Linked DNA regions of Arabidopsis thaliana. The protein of the gene in region 2 binds, or shares a complex with, the protein of the main gene of each other region. Each region holds a gene or a part of one and is shown on either strand. Other genes may lie near its edges. A codon is read from its position in the direction of its gene.

Region 1 (6,645 bases), about 12 Mb from region 2:
GAAGAACAACTTTCCTGGAAAACTTAATTTCATATTCTCTAAGAAATAAGGTTGGAGTGGCAATCAAAGAGTAAAGAGAGATTTATATAATAATATCAAAATAAATGAGATAAAGAGAAATATAAATAACATTAATATTTTCTAGATACACATGATTTCTTTTTCATAAAATTTGAACTATATAATTAACTCATTTTTTTATTAAGTGTTATGGTACATGATTATTGTTATTACATGTATTGTGTATCTGTATAAAAATGTGTAAATCTAGATTACTAACTTATGAACTTAACTTGGTATAATTATTTTATTATATAAACTTTGGTTTTCAAAATTAGTAACTCACATGATTGCGACACGGGTAACTTTCTCGATTAGATATCAACAACTGTTTTATTTTTTTGTTTTCTTTTACAGAAAATAAAAACTAATTAAAAGAATATTTACATATACTAATTATTCTTACCCAAAAAAAACTAACAAAATGTTTTTTACATGTGTTATTGGTCAACAAGATTTGGACATGTATCAAAAAAATCTTATCCATTTAGCATGGATTTTAACCAATAAACAATGTGTTGAAGTTCAAAAAAAAAAAAAAACAGGTTATTTAAAATTAATTAAATTAAATAATTTTTTTGCTTATATTATACTTTTAGATATAAGACCTAATCAGTAAGAAAGCAATTTGATAATAAAAAGTTGGTTGTTTGAGAAAGATAAAAAAAGTTGGATGGATTAATTATCCCAGCTATAAAAAAAAATTGATTGGTTTAGGTAAGTTTTTCTAAAATAAATTTATATGTTACTTGTGATTGTCTTTCATAATCTATCTGAAATTTTCTTTATGACCAATCACAAAGTTGAAACTGAAATGATTTTAGGTAACATAACTTGTCAAAAACAGTTTAGTTCACAAGTGATCATCTCACATTGGAAACCATCTAATCCTTTCAAGATTTGCATTATTTGTAACAATCACAATGGTTAAGAACAAACGATAAAAGTAGAGATTGTATATATCGCCATGCCTCCAAATTCATATATGCAAATGTAAAAGGGAGTCCTAATAAGAACAATACAAGATGCCACAAAGCATCCAATTAACACTGCAAAGTTTTGAATCTAACAATGTGCTTATTGCAAATTGCTTATAGATTTCACCGCAAGCTAAACCCGAGATACAGTGATACTCAGGCTTAAACAAAAGGTCTATAAAGAGGACAGCAAACGAAGAATCAGTATCTTTATTTTTGCGAAAAGAGAGAAAATGTGAAAACCCAAGTTAAAGCTCTCACTTTTTCAAGAGCACGGCACTGCACTGCGCCATGATCTTTGATGCTCTTGTGATCGAGTTTGTCATGTAAAAGTTCTCAACCACGGTTTGGAACGGTGTTGTGCTCATTGCCTCCTTGCACTCAGGCTTCAATGAAGGCCCAAAAGCAGCTGGCTCTCGCTCATCTGTGTGGACTAGATTTGGTGCAACGCTCTTTATTCTTGATCTAACACCTTCGATTGAGTTGTATGGAAGCTTCACACCCGAGACCTCGGATAAGGCTCTCACAATCTTCCAGTCATCTCTTGCATCACCAACTGTTGGAACAGCTGGAACAGTCTGTTGGGTAAATCCTTCAGTATTTTCATAGGTTCCTTCTTTCTCAGTGAAGGCCGATGCAGGGAGAATTACGTTTGCACGGTAAACCGCTTTGTCTCCATGGTGTCCTTGGTAAACCACAAAGGCGTCTTTAGGAATCTTGTCAACATTTACATCGTCTGCTCCCATCAAGTAGACGAATTTTGCAGACTCGAGGGCTTTGGCGGACTGTTGAATGAGACCAAGATCAAGAGCAGCCGCTTGGGCAGCATACTGAAGGAGAAAGTTGAGACCGTTCCAGTCTGGTCGGACAACATTGTTGGCTTGTGCAATGGACTCCACAGAAGAGAGGATAGCATTTTTATCAGTTCTGTTGAAGAGCCCAGCACCAACAATGATTGCAGGGTTTTTGGCGTTCTTGAGAGCCGTACAGAATGGATGCCGTCCCTCAGCAATTTCCTTGAGAGTATCAGGCCCAGTCCCGAGGTGTTTGCAGTCGTAATTGAACTCTGCAGGTGGACCAACATATCCAACCTTGGCATTTGATGCACGGACTGTCTTGCAGATCCTAGCATTCACCATTGCAGCTTCCACCCTAGGCTGGTAAAAATAGACAAAAACTGGTGAATGTACTGCTAAAAAACCTTCACAACTTTGATATCTGGAAGAGCAAGTTTTGCTTGATCTAGATTGGTCTGGATCAGGAATATTCAATACAAGCGAAATGTTAACATCTGATCTGTTTTTTAGAAACTTAATTTTGCTTGTTTCTCCTTTCTATTTGCCTCTGTATTCCAAATTATGCACAGAACCTTAAGCCACACCACTAAATCAAAGTATCAAACTACACAATTTGGTTTTTCTTATGTCATTGTTCCAAATACAGAGCGGTCTGTCTAATCCGGTACCAGAAACCATACAAAAAAGACAGGGTGGAAATCTCACCTGGGTACCGATGAGAAGGAAGAGATCGGCGTTTTCAAGTCCACTGATGCTAGTGTTCATCAGATAACTGTATCTAAGATCAGCATCAACACCAGCAGCTGTTCCTTCACACCATACATTGTCTGAGCCCATTCTGTTAACGAAGTCCTTCAGTACCATCATGGATTCCGCATCAGATAGCTGACCTGCTACTCCAACAATCTCATCTGGCTTCACCTGATGAATGATATCACCCACAACAGCCAAGGCATCACGCCAGCTCACTGCCTTGAATCGTCCATCGGAATCTCGGATCATAGGGTCGCTCAGCCTTTGTCTTTTCAGGCCGTCATAACAGAATCGGGTTTTGTCAGATATCCATTCTTCGTTTATATCCTGAATAAGAACATTCACAAGTTCAACATCCAGCAAAATACTTTTAAAAATAGTGTTTTTGAACAAAAGCATTACATACCTCATTCAGGCGTGGAATGATACGCATTACTTCTGGTCCTCTACTATCAACACGGATGTTGGACCCAACAGCATCACTAACATCAATAGTTTCTGTTGCTTTCAACTCCCAGTTTCTGGCTTTAAAGGCAAAAGGCTTTGAGGTCAAGGCTCCAACAGGACAGATATCAATAACATTTCCAGAGAGTTCACTGGTCATAAGCTTTTCAACATAAGTTCCAATTTCCTCTCCACTACCACGACCTAGTATACCAAGATCCTGAACCCCAGCAACTTCAGAAGCAAATCGTACACACCTACAAAAACATTATACATACAAAACCTAATCAACAGGATAGCGTATCTATCACATTAACTAAAACATCACACTATAAGCAAACTATATTAGTAACCTTGTACACTGGATACACCGAGTCATAACAGTCTTCACAAGAGGACCAAGATTCTTATCAACAACAGATCTTTTCATCTCAGTAAAACGTCCTCTATCAGATCCAAAAGCCATAGACTGATCCTGAAGATCACACTCTCCTCCTTGGTCACAAATAGGACAATCCAAAGGGTGATTCATCAACAAAAACTCCATCACTCCCTCCCTCGCCTTCTTAGCTATCGGTGTATCAGTCTTAATCTTCATCCCTGTTACAAAAACTCTTAGCAATAGCACCAAATCCAAATATATTCCACCAATCAACGATCAAAATCAATCCATCAGCATAGAAATTTTCCTGGAATCGAACTAACCAGGAAGCGCAGGCATGGCACATGAAGCTACAGGCTTAGGAGATTTCTCAACCTCAACAAGACACATCCTGCAATTTCCAGCAATAGATAAACGAGAATGATAACAAAACCTCGGGATATCAACTCCAGCGACCTCACAAGCCTGAAGAACAGTGAATCCTTTAGGGACTTTGACCGCGTAACCATCGACAAAGACCTCGATCGCATCTTCAGGATTCGAGAAGTGGACGCGTGCTCCACCTACAGGGTTTCTAGGAGGGAGAATCTGTGTCGGCGGCTCAGGCTCAGAGACAGCAGCGGATTCAGGAGATTGGAGCTCTGGTTTTGAGACGATTGTGCGGAGGAAGAAATTGGAGGTTTGAGATTGAAGAAGACGTGAAGCTGGTCGAATTGTTCGAGAAGCTAAGATGCCTAAACCCATGGCGTTGTGGATCTGTATCGTCTTCTTCTTCTTCTTCGTCTTCTATGTGTGTATTTCTCGATCTTGTTGTGAGAACTCCTGAAGCATTTGTGCGAGAGAGAAGGAGACACGAATGAGTGAGTTTTGGGCTTTATGGGCTTTTATTTTGGATATTATAATTGGCTTATGAATGAGTGAGTTTTGGGCTTTGTGGGCTTTTTCTTTTCAAACTGAATTAAGTTAATTTTGGGAGATATAGTTTAAGAGTTTTGATGATCTTTCTCTAATTCACTTAATGACATTGAGTTTAAAACAATCTTGCTTCTAGTTCCATACAACATATTAGAACCTCTAGCAAAATAAACCTCTAATCAATCATTAGTCCTAGAGACTTTTAGGTCAATGTACTAATTGAACATTTGTATATTTCAGATAAAGACAACTTAAAATATGGTTATAAATGATGACAATTTTAAACATCTCAACGTCGTCTATTTAAATAAAAGGAAAGAAAATATTGTCAACACCTATGCTGCATCGGTTAAGGTTTACGTGTAAGAGTTAGTTTATTTTCCTCGTTTGTTTAGGTTTACGTGTAAGCATCATTATCAGTGATATTGTTATTAATCTAACCTTTGCAATGACAACCAAAAAAAAAAAAAAATGAAGTTTCATAAGCTTTGATATATATTATCTTATCATTACAGGCAGACATGATAAGTATAATTTAACTCGTTTAATTTGATAGTTTTAGTTATAAATTTACATAGTAATTCGTTATAATTTTAATTATGGGTTTGAATGGTTACGGCGGTTCGGGCGGACAAAACCATCAACGGATCAGACTGTTTTTTATTTACCATTAATCAATTATAGTGCACAGTGGTCCGGACAAAAAAAAAAGAAGAAAACCGCAACAGATCATCTGTGAATCATCCACGAACTATTTTTACATATAAATAAACTTGGTCCACAGCGGTTTATTGTCCGCCTCAAAATAAGGTAGATTAAACCGCATACAAAGTATACCGCTTTGTCCACTGCATCCATTCAAAACTTATAAAGTTATAAGTTATAGCTAATAAATATGACACTTTTTCAAATTGTTATAGATCACTTTAAGAGTGATTACATTCCTCTCTTGTTTTTTTTTGTCAAACAGAGTGATTACATTCCTTTCTTTTTTTTTGTCAAACAGGGTGATTACATTCCTTCTTTTTTTTTTTTTGTCAAAACAGAGTGATTACATTCCAAGGCAAAGAAACATAAGGGAGAACCACTAACTACAATAAAAATTGTTGGGTTAATGGCAAAAGAAAAAAAAGAATTAGTGGTTCTTCTATGAAAAAGAATTGCATCCAATGGAAAGAGGATGTGACCGAGTTGATAAGATATGAAACACAACATATATAGCTTTTTGTTATCAAACTATTTATCGTCTCGTATTTGTTCTAATCTAAACCGAAATACTAATATTTTAAGGAAATACTTTGCGAAAAATAAATAAAAATTCTCACCTTTATTCAATCAAAGCCAAAAATGAAAAAAAAAAATAGAAGCAAGACAATCATATTCATACAACTCGATAAGGTAGTACCTCTAAAGTGCAAAACGAAAACAAGAAATATCTCTGCTATCTCATTCTCGTCAACTAGGAAACTCTGCATAATCTCTCTTTTACACAATGCAAAGAATAAGGTGAAGATGAACTGATTATCTCTAGCGTACTATGAAAGTCAATATTTAGATGCAAATTAGGTGATTTTTATTGTCGATATTCTTCTTTTTCTGGACACGTCCTCATATTCGTGTATATTTAATTTCTTCTCTTGGTTTTATACAAAGCCGACCATTTGGAAAATTTAAAACTAAAAATCTCAAAACCTGATGTAAATTTTGATTTTACTTTAAACAGAAATCCTACGTTAAACATATAGGAAATGCTGTTACACACCCATTAATGTCTATAACTAGTACATCAATTTACAACAGATTTATTGTCTTAAAAAAAAATAACTCCCCCACTTACCCCGTGAATGTTCAAGTACACTAGTCCAGATTAACTTAAATTCGATTATGCTAGAAATGATTCACAAAAACCGGTTTAGGGAATCATCATCCAGATTTGGAGCATCGTAATCTTTTGGTAAATTTTTATTAGCCGTTCGTACAATTCAATTCCAAATTTTAATTTAGATGAGATTTTTTATATTAAAAAAACAATGATATATGTTCGACAATCGACATGTTCTGATGTCCTATATAAATTCGGTCCTTCTAGACAAAACCTTACGTTATACACTTCAACTAATAAAGAGTCCAAACCAAACAAAAAAAAAACAGTAGTTTCTCGACAGAAACAAAATCAATATAGCTTTAACATCACGAGAAAGAAGAACTAAAGAAGACCAAACAAAAAATAATTTGGAAAAAAACAGAGAAGCAGCTCTCGTGATCTTCCCGCCTTTTCTCTTCAACTTGTAAAACATTACAAGATCTATCTTCTACC
Region 2 (5,059 bases):
TCTAGCGACTCTGATTCACTTTCAGTTTATGACATTCTGAAAGAATGGGAAGAGAGTAGTAAGAAAGAATGAAAATGCTTGTAAATTTCCTCAAAATCTTTAGTAGAACAAAATCTCAATTTTTTTGCTTACTCATCTCACTTCAAAATAGTTTCAAGGTTACTAAACAGATCATCCACATACAATAAAAGATCAGTTATACAGAATCTCAGATTCGGAGAAAGAACATACATATGATCAAACTGCGGATTTACACTGTTACTAACCAAAAAAAGAGAGCAGATAGGTTTGGAAACTTAAAAAACTCTGCAGGTGATGAGATATCGCCTGATTCAAGATCGGCACTCTTAAGAAACCAGTAAACCCACTAAGTATATATATTTTATGGCTTGCTTTGTTACAGAACTTCCCCATGATGGCTATTTCTTTCTGTTTCACCAAGGATGATTACGGATCCTGAACTTCAAAGCTTTCATGGCTGCCTTTGCAAATATCTGAGCAGCTTCAGCTTCTGCTTCTGCTCTTTCTGCCTCTTTTGCTGCTTGTTCAGCCTCTGTGATAGCAAATTCTGCCTCTGCAACTGCTCTTGCTGCAGCCTCTGCAGCTTCTTGAGCTGTCATGCCTTTTATCATATATAATTCACCGTCTACTCGGAATTTAGTGAGACTGTTGGCACCGTTCTCCTCGGGTTTTGTTGGGTCTTTCTTGTTGTTTCCTTCCAGAAAGAGTTGAGGAGCCTTCTGTCTTGCACCTGCGGGAATAAAATTAGAAGAAAACCTGTACTTGTGCTTTATCTGAAAGTGAGAAATCACCAAGTAAGTATTTTTGAAAATTCTGAGAGTAATGAAGTGTTAGTGATCATGAATCTTGAATCAAAAGTTGTGTGTTTACCTTAACTAATGTTCCATTCGATGATAAATGCTTTAATCGTACTGCGACATGCCTTTTCATATTCGGTGGAGTCTTGAAATTCTCCTGAAATTTAACAGCTACTAAGTAAGTATGCAACAAACCCCAACCAAACATGTAATCCCAATGGTAGAAATACCTCTATATACAGAAAGATTGATGTTCTGTCAGAACCGCGTAGTTCCCTCAAGTTGGTAATTGCCTCAAAGATGATCTTATCCAAACTACAAAAACAGACAATAGCGCAAGATCAAATCTTTATGAACTCAAGAAAATCGTTATGTGGTGCATAAGTCAGGGAACCAAACCTTGTAATTGATCTCTTAGAAGCACAAGTGCGTGGTGATCCACCACCAGAACCTCCGGGGGAAGTTGGTTTTGCACGTTCATCATCATTAGTCAAAGCCACAATGGTAAGAGCTGTGTTGTTATCATCCTGTTTAGTACCTGGTGGAGTCCTCTTAAGCGCAAGTTTAGCCTTCTTCCTTGAACCCCATAAAGCTGTCACGCTTATATTTCTCCATTTGTCCTGTTATGCCTTGAACTATCAAGATTAGTCCGAAACACGCGATCACAACCTCCAAAAAGCATATTATATTGTATTACCTTAAGATCAACATTAGAGCGAGACTTAAGGATTAAACTAAACTCAGTATCCGAGAGTATGGTACGCCACTTCCCAGTCCCATGCTTAAGAACTCCAGCTTTAAGAGCTGCTTCTTCTTCCGGTGTCCACTTCTGCTTTGGTGCACCCATCCACAGTTATCAATATTTGAATTTCTTCTTTTCTCTGCCAATAGATGTGAACGCTAACATTAGAATCTGTTAAATCGTACGAAACTTAACCACATCAAAGCCATTGTTGAACATTTCTTATCCAATACAAAATTTTGGTCATCTAAATCCAGCAGATACACAAAGCCACAACATAAAAATGTAACTACACAAATCCAAAGAAATTAGATACGCCCCAAAGCTCAATTCAACAAAAAAATGAGTGATTCGAGCAATCTCGAACCAAAAAAAGAGGATCAAAGCCCATTAACAACGTCGCAAATCAACAGGAATTTGGAAATACAGCCATCAATCTAAAGCGATAGCTAAATTATCAACCAAATTCAAATGGGGCGATCGTAGAAAATTAAAAACAAAAATGGAAAATTCAGAGAAGGAAGCAGAAAGGAGGAAGGAGGAGAAGAAGCATGCCAGATCAAACGAAACCAAAGGAGAGTTTTCGAGAGAGAGACTTGATGATGAAAGCTAATTCCTTGTATAGATGTGTCATAGATCAAATGTGATTCGCTGAAACGAACGAAGAAGAAGAAGACCAGAGAGGCTAGCATAAGGAAGAAGAATATCCATAGAAACGAGAAACAAACTTGAGCTTTTCTTTTGTATTCAAGCTAAGGAAGATGTAACCCTATATTTCTCCACATTCACAAATTTGCCTCAAGTTTATCAAATTACACAATAAAACCTACCAACTAAATGAATAGGATCAAGCTGAATAAAATATACTAGTACTATTTTTTAAAAATAATGTATCTATAAAATTTATCGTTGTTAAATCTCACAGATAGTTTAGGGGCTATTAAAGATTTTTCATATAATAGTAAGACCGAAAGCGTAATTTATAAAATTTTGATGGCTAGATTGAAATATGTGTTTTTTTTTTCTTTCTAAAATCTACAGAAGTAGAAGAAACCAAAGCGAAATCAAAAAGCTCAGCAATTTTCCAGATTTCTCTAATTGACGATGGCGCTTTGTGCTACTACTCAAAGGACTATCCGTATAGCGGCGACGCTCCGGCGTGTTGCTCGACCTTTCGCTACTGACGCGGTGGTTGAGTCGGATTACAAGCGTGGTGAGATCGGTAAGGTCTCCGGAATCCCAGAGGAGCATCTTTCTCGCAAGGTAAATAAGCATTCGATTTCTTACGAATTCAGTTTAGAAAATTAGGGTTCGTGATCAGAGAATCGTCTTAATTGAGCTACATCGTGTTCTTGATTTGATTTTGGTCAATCGAATAGTGCTAAGAGTATTGAATTTGGAAATTAACAGGTGATAATATACTCACCTGCTAGAACAGCTACCCAGTCAGGATCTGGAAAACTCGGAAAATGGAAGATTAACTTCGTCTCCACCTTAAAGTATGCTACTTTTTGATTAAGATAATCCTCTTTTCCTCACATTTTATGTCCTAATATGATTCTTATCCTTAAAATTCCTATCTTTTCAAAACTTAAGTCTTCTGCTTGTGACTAGTACTAGTCCATCACTTGTTGATTAGATTTCGATTGACATCACTTATCTATGGCATTCATATGTTTCTAGGTGGGAGAATCCGTTGATGGGATGGACTTCTACAGGTGACCCCTATGCTAATGTTGGTGACTCTGCTCTTGCTTTTGATTCTGAAGAAGCTGCTAAGTCTTTTGCTGAGCGTCATGGTTGGGATTATAAGGTACGTTGTTTCCTTCTTCGTTTTTAGCTCATTTTTTTTTCTGGTCGCATTCACTCACATTTTATGAGAATGTGATGGTTCTGTTTTTTTTTTTTTTCGATCACCATTGTGATGGTTCTGTTTTAAGATCCCTTAATATAGAATTCAGAGTACTGAAAAACTTACATCTAAATCATTGCAGGTCAAGAAGCCCAACACACCATTATTGAAGGTTAGTAACTATCTTTTTGCTAATGCCGCATTATGACTTACGAGCTCTACTCATATGAGGTGTTTAACCCTAAAGCTGGAGATTCACTGGAACGACCCTTGAATGTTGTGTTAAATAGATAGGATATTCTTTAACTTAACTCATATTGCTTCATCAGAAATGGTTTGGTGCCTCTAGTTTAAGATTTAGCTACTAGTTTGACGAGCGATAGTCTCTTTCATTCCTTTGATTTATTTGGTAGAACATTCTTTAGATTGAAGTTTTAACCTAACCCCATGATTGTTCATCATCTAACATCTAACTGCAGGTCAAGTCTTACTCGGACAACTTCAAGTGGAAAGGCAATCCTCAACCAGAAAACTGATGTTACACCTTCTTCCAATTCTTCTCGAGCAAAAGAAGAAACCTCATTTGATATTAATTCTCATGTTTCTTTGTTATTTTAGCATCTGTGAGCTTTTTGGTTGAAAAGAACCATTATCCATGGCTATGTTTACTTATTACAATAATATGATGATGATGATGAAACACACTCCTTTGATATTTCATCAAGATTTCTGATCACTTCTTTACTGGTTTATTTCGAATTCGTGTGATTGGATTATGAAAGAGAGAGATAATTATGGTCGGAGTCAATAAAACATAAGATACCAAAATTCGAATTGAAAGAAGATAACAACAGAAGAAAGATTGTTGAACATTACATAACATATATGAGGAAATAAAAGTTGACTGAGGCAACGTATATAATTATCCTCCGATCAGAAACATGCATCCAAGAGACAGCAACAACAGAGCGCAGCCAAACTGTGACGTATTTATGAACAGAGCAAAGACATATATTAACTAATACAGTATTATTCCACTAAAACCTAAATACAAAGCAAAACAAGAAACCAAAATAAAGTTAATATAAAGTAGAAAAGATGGGATCAAGAACGTACCATCCTTCAAGCATACCGGCGTTTTGCTTCTGCTGCGGAGCTTGAGAGTACTGCGGCGGAGGATAACCTTGTGCAGGGTATCCCTGAGCATATCCTGGCGGTGGATAACCGGCTGGAGGATAACCGGCCGGAGGATAACCGTCCTTAGGTGGATACCCTTTAAACCGAAATTCAAGAGCAAATTAAACAAGCAGATCGAAGAAGATAAACCAACTATCCAAAACTAAAGAAAAAGAGATAATACCTTGGGGAGGAGGAGCACCGACAGGATGTTGTTCTTGATGATACATCTTTCTTCTTCTTCTGAGTTCTTTGAGCTTTTTTTTCTTTCTCTCTTTGTTTAAAAGCAAACTCTGTTCCTTTCCTTTATAACGAAGCTATGCCGGTGAGGAATAATGATATATACTTTTAATTTAATAAAGGAACCAGAAAATAAAGGAAATATTCTTTAAATAAAGTCTTTCTTGCATCATAAAGATTACGATTAAATTTCTTTGAAAATTAGGTGATCTTCTTCTAATGTGCTAGAAA

What was found. The genes of interacting proteins can lie anywhere in the genome.
Region 1: the proteins of FRO1 (region 2) and EMB1467 are in contact, whole or in part, in a cryo-EM structure (PDB 7AR8), measured with the Arabidopsis thaliana proteins. Residues at the interface, in NP_201560.1 of Arabidopsis thaliana: Ile55 (codon at 2,974), Tyr57 (codon at 2,980), Ser58 (codon at 2,983), Pro59 (codon at 2,986), Ala60 (codon at 2,989), Arg61 (codon at 2,992), Thr62 (codon at 2,995), Ala63 (codon at 2,998), Thr64 (codon at 3,001), Gln65 (codon at 3,004), Ser66 (codon at 3,007), Ser68 (codon at 3,013), Leu71 (codon at 3,022), Val79 (codon at 3,046), Thr81 (codon at 3,052), Leu82 (codon at 3,055), Lys83 (codon at 3,058), Glu85 (codon at 3,248), Thr92 (codon at 3,269), Asp103 (codon at 3,302), Lys126 (codon at 3,371), Lys128 (codon at 3,558), Lys129 (codon at 3,561), Asn131 (codon at 3,567), Thr132 (codon at 3,570), Pro133 (codon at 3,573), Leu134 (codon at 3,576), Leu135 (codon at 3,579), Lys136 (codon at 3,582), Val137 (codon at 3,892); in NP_568550.1 of Arabidopsis thaliana: Gly61 (codon at 3,977), Gly62 (codon at 3,974), Ala63 (codon at 3,971), Arg64 (codon at 3,968), Val65 (codon at 3,965), His66 (codon at 3,962), Lys87 (codon at 3,899), Gly88 (codon at 3,896), Phe89 (codon at 3,893), Thr90 (codon at 3,890), Gln93 (codon at 3,881), Glu96 (codon at 3,872), Val97 (codon at 3,869), Asp101 (codon at 3,857), Arg104 (codon at 3,848), Tyr107 (codon at 3,839), His108 (codon at 3,836), Ser109 (codon at 3,833), Leu111 (codon at 3,827), Ser112 (codon at 3,824), Ile113 (codon at 3,821), Ala135 (codon at 3,755), Gln175 (codon at 3,530), Glu178 (codon at 3,521), Cys179 (codon at 3,518), Asp180 (codon at 3,515), Asp183 (codon at 3,506), Asp266 (codon at 3,161), Lys288 (codon at 3,095), Ala289 (codon at 3,092).

What each region holds. Positions count from the first base shown.
Region 1 is NC_003076.8:14,895,002-14,901,646, reverse strand, and holds EMB1467 (NADH-ubiquinone dehydrogenase), read right to left. Parts: upstream 4,238-6,645; 5' UTR 4,158-4,237; coding exon 3,737-4,157; intron 3,632-3,736; coding exon 3,385-3,631; intron 3,289-3,384; coding exon 2,994-3,288; intron 2,915-2,993; coding exon 2,540-2,914; intron 2,195-2,539; coding exon 1,299-2,194; coding exon of another isoform or gene 1,295-1,298; exon of another isoform or gene 1,213-1,294; coding exon 1,200-1,212; 3' UTR 1,000-1,199; downstream 1-999.
Region 2 is NC_003076.8:26,955,409-26,960,467, forward strand, and holds FRO1 (NADH-ubiquinone oxidoreductase-like protein), read left to right. Parts: upstream 1-2,506; 5' UTR 2,507-2,664; coding exon 2,665-2,823; intron 2,824-2,970; coding exon 2,971-3,059; intron 3,060-3,243; coding exon 3,244-3,373; intron 3,374-3,554; coding exon 3,555-3,584; intron 3,585-3,891; coding exon 3,892-3,948; 3' UTR 3,949-4,149; downstream 4,150-5,059. Other genes in the region: DG1 (Tetratricopeptide repeat (TPR)-like superfamily protein), read left to right, coding at 1-72; TRB2 (Homeodomain-like/winged-helix DNA-binding family protein), read right to left, coding at 435-794, 892-975, 1,049-1,133, 1,218-1,438, 1,516-1,665; WIH1 (cysteine-rich TM module stress tolerance protein), read right to left, coding at 4,346-4,391, 4,529-4,685, 4,773-4,818.